2 linked regions of the Arabidopsis thaliana genome follow. The protein of the gene in region 2 purifies or fractionates together with the protein of the main gene of each other region. This does not show direct contact. Each region holds a gene or a part of one and is shown on either strand. Other genes may lie near its edges.

The links. Proteins that work in one complex are often made in the same cells at the same time.
Region 1: the proteins of AT5G26830 (region 2) and AT3G02760 fractionate together in Arabidopsis thaliana (co-fractionation; one large-scale study listed by BioGRID). This does not show direct contact.

What each region holds. Positions count from the first base shown.
Region 1 is NC_003074.8:598,628-602,379, forward strand, and holds the start of AT3G02760 (Class II aaRS and biotin synthetases superfamily protein), read right to left. Parts: upstream 2,157-3,752; 5' UTR 2,024-2,156; coding exon 674-2,023; intron 600-673; coding exon 420-599; intron 330-419; coding exon 72-329; intron 1-71. Other genes in the region: AT3G02770 (Ribonuclease E inhibitor RraA/Dimethylmenaquinone methyltransferase), read right to left, coding at 2,390-2,706, 3,074-3,257.
Region 2 is NC_003076.8:9,435,346-9,439,097, forward strand, and holds the start of AT5G26830 (Threonyl-tRNA synthetase), read left to right. Parts: upstream 1-1,841; 5' UTR 1,842-2,005; coding exon 2,006-2,232; intron 2,233-2,341; coding exon 2,342-2,579; intron 2,580-2,673; coding exon 2,674-2,733; intron 2,734-2,892; coding exon 2,893-2,982; intron 2,983-3,150; coding exon 3,151-3,225; intron 3,226-3,343; coding exon 3,344-3,472; intron 3,473-3,555; coding exon 3,556-3,645; intron 3,646-3,723; coding exon 3,724-3,752. Other genes in the region: IREG3 (iron-regulated protein 3), read left to right, coding at 15-116, 486-597, 695-841, 974-1,080, 1,171-1,284, 1,364-1,660.

The DNA of each region.
Region 1 (3,752 bases), on a different chromosome or scaffold from region 2:
ACCAGAATTAAGAACATAGCCAAAGAAAAAACCAACCAGGAAAGATTAAGACTTTCAACTTAAGTTATTACCTCATAATCTCCTATTTCTAACTCATCGAGGAGTTCAGTTAATATCTTGACAATTTCAAAATCGGGTCCCATTGGTTCGAACAAACCAGCGATATCAAAATCACACTGATAAAACTCTCTGTATCTCCCTTTAGATGGATTATCCCTTCTGTACACCTTTGCTATTTGGTATCTTTTGAATGATGTGATTCCATTCATAGCCACATACCGTGCAAATGGAACAGTTAGATCATATCGTAAAGAGCAAAGCTCTCCACCCTGCAATTAATAGATCCATATGAGCTCAAATTTTGACAAACAAATCATCACATAAACTGATGATATTACAGCAGCCAAGAAGAGTTCTACCTGATCAGCAATATCATAAACCAATTTCGAGTCTTCTCCGTACTTTCCCATAAGGGTCTCTCTCAATTCAAAAACAGGAGTATCAAGTGCAGTTGCACCATGCCTCTTGAAAACGTTTTGTATGATTGAAAAGGCTTTTTCTCGGACTGCCATTTGTTCTTTAGCGAAATCTCGAGTTCCCTGTCATAGAATGAAACAAATCAGAAATTAACTCTGAGGCCTAAACCTTCTCCATATACGAGATTGTAATTTACCTTTGGAAGCTTGGGAAGTCTCCTATTTTCATTACTTTCTACAATCTCTTTCACTTTATCCAACAAGCTATCAAAACTGCGACCCTCTGGGTTGAAAAGATTTAAGATTTGCTCCCCACATTGCATCAATGAATGCATCTGGTCACCATCACTTGCTGCGTCATTACTCACCAATCTATCTTTGATAAACTGGATAACTAGGCTTGTCCCCTTTCCCACAACTGCTTTTTTCTCATTCTTCTTCTTTTTCTTATCGGTCTTCGACTCTTCTTTGTCCGCATCTCCGCTCTTCTGAACAAACAATTCTCCACCAGCAAGAGCAAAAAAGGCAGCAACTGCCTCCAAACCAACAATTCTCCATACAATTCCCAGACACTCATTCAGTTTGTGAGCAAACCTGCAGTAATCCTCTTCCAAATGAGCAGTATAAGCTAACTTATAGCTATTCTTTAGATTCTCATTCTCAACACAGATCTTTTCAGATAAACATTTCTTCAGATTCTCATCCACAATCTTCTCAAAACAAAGCTTAGCACGAAGGAACGAACACACTCCCAAGTTTTTAATCGCCGTTAACAAAGGTAACAATGTTGTTCCTAAAGCCTCACCAATCCCAGTGTTTCCAGACCCAGTTTTGCCTCCTTTAACACCGGAATTCAATTCTCTCCTAGCATCCGCGTGCACGCTTTTCACCACATACCTGAATTTCCCATGAATCCAAGGGATTTTCGAAATCTCTTCTATTTCTAATTTCCCTGTACCTTTATACCCGTTAAGCAAAACCTTGAGATCACCAGCAACACCAATCACATCTTTATCACCATTCCCATCTCCTGAATCCAACAAGCTAAACGAAGCTATATCAGCCTTTGTAACCTCACAACTCAACGCAGCAACAGAATCCACAATCTGTGAAAGAGTCGTCGATTTGTGATCTATAATAGAACAAATCCCAATCAACGAAGCACACGACTTCTCCAACACAATGTTTTCCCCTTCTGTCACATCAATCTCACCCAATTCCAAACTCTCAGCCTTCAAATTCAGAATCTCAACAATCTTAAGCGGAAGAACAGAACGAGCGGTGGATGAAGAAGGAGGACCAGAAGTCGACAAAATAAGCTTGTTTAAGAGAACAGCCAGAGAAGCTCGAGTTTCTTCGTTCGTTAACCCTTGAGGGATACCAAAGGAGCTCCTTTTGATCGATGGAACGTTTCTAGTGGAGAATCTCTCGATCGCAGAAGAGTCAATTCGAACATTAGCGACGCCGGAAGCAACATTGTAAACGGAGGAAGAAGATAAAGAAGAACCTTTCCCTCCGAGAGTGATGGACGATCTCTCCGCCGCCATTATCACACACAGAGCTGAAGCCGGAGTGATTAGGGTTTTCTGTCTTTCGTTGTGTTTGACCTAAAACGAAGCACTGTGAAATTGCAAGAAGGCGGATTTAGAAAATTGGTAAACTGCAAAATGACCCTCGAAGTATCCAGTTATTGGAAATTGATCTACGAAAAATGCTTGTATGGATACTTCAAGGATCTTTTTGCAATTTTCACTTTACGAAATGTTTTTTTTTATCAACTCGAAACGGATTCAATAGTTCAATAATCATATTCAAAGAAGCCAACTTTTACTCTGATAGCCATTACAGAAACACAAAGCACAAAAGTAGTAGCTTACAGATTTTAACAAATCAACAACATCACTTGTGTCCTTTTAAACGGATAATTCAATCTGAGAAACAAGGATACCATCAGTATCTGCATAAAGCCATTCGCCATCGCATATCCGAGTGCCTGCAATGTTCAAAGAGACTCTTTGTTCACCAAGTCCTTTCTTACTAGCCTTTATTGGATGAGAAGCTAAAGCTCTCACTCCAATGTCGCAACCATTGATCTCATCAACGTCTCTGATGCATCCATTCACTATGATCCCTGCCCATCCGTTGTTCTGCGCTTGTACGACCGGGTTTCCTCCTAGTATCGCACAGCGTAAACTCCCTCCACCATCCACCACAAGAACTCTACCATTGCCTGTTTTAACATTTAAAACATTATTGAGCTTTTGATGTGAATGCTACAGAGAACAGATTGGTTTATTGACTCGGGTTTTTGAAAGACCTATCTCGTCTCTAGTATTCAAGAACTTGATTAGCAAAGTGACTGAAGAAGTATATAAACACTGAGCAGTAGTTCTAAATCATAGAGAGATGATCTTAAGACTTCTTCAAACATAGTTTCAAGCAAAGAACAATTGAAACTATTTGACAAGTAAGTAACACAAGAATTGAATCTAAAATGTAACAATACCAATAAACCATGTCAAAGATACTCTGAAAGTTCATAGCTCTACGAGTAAAGTTTCAGTCTTTTGAATTTTATAAGCAAGAATCATTAATACCTTTCTCTTCGAGGAAGTGACGGATTAAGCCATTGTCTTCAAAGACTTTAACAGTAACTACTGGACCTGAAAATATTTGACGACGACCATAAATCTGAAAAACGGGTTGCAGAGCTCGGAGCTGGCCACTTCGAATCATCTCTTGATTCGCGTCACACACTTCCGCAGTGGTCACAAACGCCATTTTTTCTTCTCACCTGAATCAAGAATTATGATCAAAACAAGTAATCTGGGGATTTGATTATATGAGATTTACGAGAAATTACTCAAACACAGAAAGCAAAAGACAAATCGAGATTAGTCTAGATAAAGTGATCATATATATTCTCAGTCAATCAATCAAAACCCAGAAGGAAAGATACACACTTTTCATTCAATTCACAAGAAAACTATTTCAAAATCCATCTGGGTTTTGATCGAATCTTATTTCATTTACCTGGAATAGAAGAAACTAGGACGAAGAAGAGAACTCTGTGTGCGTAAATCTCTGAGAAATGAAGTGATGATAATTTAAAGGAGAACAAAGTCATCAACATACTTGTTTCGGTCGTTCAATAATATTAAATTAGTGACTTTTAACTTTACTTAAATCAGATGGAAGGTGGGTTGTCGTTAAGCTTCGAAAAAAGGAATCTTTGCGTTGCCTTTTCTCTGGTTTCGACTCTGTTTCCTTGTTATC
Region 2 (3,752 bases):
GTAACCTTAAATAGATAGCTGGGACGATGTTATTTGGCATTCTCCTATCCAAATATGACCCTGTGACCTGCTTAAAGTTTGCTGCCACACTAATGGTGGGTTCTTTGCCAACCATGGTAAGTAGCACCTATAAACTTGTGGTTATTCTTCTTTCGTCCAAGCTAAATAAGGGAAACACAAAGCTGCTGTGTTGTACGAGGCTGAACTATGTGTAATAGAATCATTCCTGTTTCCTATGTTTCAAGTTTCGAATTCTTTTTTCTTCAATTAAAAAGGCAGTCTTTCTCGTTTAGGTTTTGGATAATTGGAGCTTAGCCTAGATGGAGTATTATTAGTTCTTTTAACTAGATAAATAAGCTGTCATCAACATTGGAGTGATACTGTTCTGCTTCAGATCCTAGAAGCAATTCCACTTGCGCTTTACCAATTTATATGGGACTTCTTACCATCTTGCACTTCTAATAGAAGAAATCTGTTTTCTTCAGACAGCTCTTATATGGCTGACCAACAAGTTCTCCTCTGGAGTTCTGGACCGTCCTAAATGCTCCTTGAACAGCTGTTCTGCTGAAGGATCTCGTACTAATACCGACAGTATTTGTAAGGAAACCTTTTACTTTATACTACTTGGATACGCATAATTTATGATTTGAGCATGTAGTAGACATCACAAAATACCATTTGCTTTGTTCATCAGTTGATATTGGCATGGAAACTATCAAGCTCGGATGGAAAGAATATATTCAACAGCCAGTTCTTCCTGCTAGCCTCGCATATGTCCTTCTCTACTTTAACATCGTCCTCACCCCAGGCAGCTTGATGACTGCATTTCTAACACAACGATGTATGCTACTTCGACTCGGTCCCTTACTTTTCTTTAGTGCTTGGATGAAAATCGTAATTAATCTTGCGAGAGTCTTTGTGCTATTACCTATTACTCTTTCAAATTAGTCACCAATCTGTCTTTTTTCAACAGGTGTGAATCCATCAGTTATTGGTGGTTTCAGTGGATTATGCGCTGTTATGGGCGTCGCCGCAACCTTCTTATCAGCAAACTTGGTCAAACGAGTTGGCATTTTAAAGGTGAAATGTTTTCCCGCCATTTGTTATCTTGAGCTTGTATTGCGTTCAAGCTGATTAATGTTATTGCGTTTGCGTTTTAAAACGATGCAGGCGGGTGCAGTAGGATTGTTTTTCCAAGCTTCACTCCTTGCCGTTGCTGTTGCTGTGTATTGTAGCTCTTCTCTATCCCATAAAAGCCCACTCTTCTTCTTCTTGTCCATGATCGTAAGTTGTTTCTTCACTCTCTCTCTCGACCAGTAATATGCGGTTTTGGTGTTGACTAAAAGGTAACAAACAAATGCAGGTATTATCAAGGCTAGGTCACATGTCTTACGGCGTTGTGGGAGCTCAAATACTTCAAACCGGCATTCCATCATCCAAGGCTAATCTCATCGGCGCAACGGAGATCTCAGTGGCAAGTCTAGCTGAATCGCTTATGCTCGGAGTAGCCATAGCGGCGAATGACGCTTCCCATTTCGGGTTTCTCGCGGTTCTGTCTCTTTTATCAGTTGTTGCGGCCTCATTGATATTCTGCAGATTGCTGAGAAATCCCACTGATGAACAAAGACGACTCTTCTCCTTCGACCCTCTCTCAAATTGATTTGGAGCTTTTACATTGAAATATTTGTATAGTAGTTTCACTTTCAGTGTATAAATTCTTTATATAAAGTAAAGAAAAAAATTGACTTTGGTGTGAAAAATTCAAGAAGTATTCCACTTCCACCATTACTACTCTAAACAAAAAGTACTAAACTGGCTAAACCTTAGTTATTTTTCTAAACCGAGAATTAACGAGATAATTTAACAATCGATTTCAAAAACCAGCAAACCGAAATCACCCAATTTTTGGTCGGTTTGGTTCGATTTTGTTTTCTTTCACCCCTGACGAAGAAAAAAAAAACCCTAGTCACACTCAGATAACATAAACCTTTGACAACAAATTTTGATGCTCCTTCGTCTTACGGCTCGCTCTATTCGTCGTTTCACAACTTCTTCTTCGTCTCTACCATTGCTCTCATCGTCTTCGTTTTGTACTGTTCCAACAATGGCAGCTAATCATCCTAAGGATGAAGCGTATCTCTCCGCCGTCATCCCCAAACGTATCAAGCTTTTCGAGCAGATCCAAGCGAATCAACTCGAGAATCTTAAGTCTCTTCCACACGATCCGATCAAGTAAATACGATGCCGATGTTCTTATGTATCAGTGTGATTTGTAGTTTATAAGGTTTTACTTTGTTTCCTTGAAGATTGACTTCGATTTTCTGGTGTTGTGTGTGTTTAGGGTTACGTTACCAGATGGAAATGTGAAAGAAGGAAAGAAGTGGGAGACAACTCCGATGGATATCGCTGCTCAGATTTCTAAGGGTTTGGCTAATTCTGCGTTGATTTCGGCTGTTGATGATGTTCTTTGGGATATGAATAGGCCATTGGAAGGTGATTGTAAGCTTGAGCTTTTCAAATTTGATAGCGATAAAGGTCGTGATACTCTTTGGCATTCTAGTGCGCACATTCTTGGTCAGGTAAAGGAGTTTTGATCTTATCTGATTTGTGAAAGTTTTGGTTGTGGTGAACGAACGAGTTGTTTACTGTGGTTGTGGGTTGATCTTGGTGCAGGCTCTCGAGCAGGAGTATGGGTGTCAGCTGTGCATTGGACCATGCACAACGAGAGGAGAGGTAAGAGGAGCTTGTTTGTGCTAATTGTTACTTGTTTGTATATCATGTTCCATCATTTGTGAAGTTTGGTTTCTCTGTTTGGGTGTTTCTTGGTATTTTAATGAAGTGTTGTGTGTAAATAAGCTATCGCTGATGTTAGTAATGGATTTGTTATTGCAGGGTTTCTACTATGATGGATTTTATGGTGAATTGGGCCTGAGTGACAACCACTTTCCTAGCATCGAAGCAGGTGCTGCAAAAGCTGCTAAGGTGTTGTTTCTTCTTTTTGATTCGATTACTTTTAAGGTTTCTTACAATGTATGTTATAAAATATTTGCTTATTTTGTCAAACCTTTTTAGTGAAAAATGATTGATATATGTCTCCCAACTCTTAGCCATAGTTTCTATTGGTTTGATTCGCTTCTATTTGCATCTCAGGAAGCACAACCATTTGAAAGGATTGAAGTGACGAAGGATCAGGCACTCGAGATGTTTTCTGAGAATAATTTTAAGGTGGGTTAAGCTGTGTATAAATATCATTGGATTGTGTTATGCTCACCTAACCTTACATTCATTTCTGTCCTCTATGAAGTTGTTGTTTGGACTCATTATTCTGCTGTTAATCATGTAGGTTGAACTCATCAATGGTTTGCCTGCAGACATGACCATTACTGTCTACAGATGTGGCCCTTTGGTGGATTTGTGTCGTGGACCGCACATACCAAATACTTCCTTTGTGAAAGCGTTCAAGTGTTTGAGGGTGATTTGCTACTGTATCTCTAGGAGCTACATCTCTACAGATTCTAGTTTGTTTTCTTATGCTGACCAATATATTTTTCTCAGGCCTCATCAGCTTACTGGAAGGGTGACAAAGACCGTGAGAGCTTGCAGAGAGTTTATGGGATATCTTATCCTGATCAGAAGCAGCTGAAGGTACTCAAAATATCTTAATTATTTATGGCAGCTACGCTGTGTCATAAGTATGCATAATATCTATCATTTGGTCGACAGAAATATCTCCAATTTCTAGAAGAAGCCAA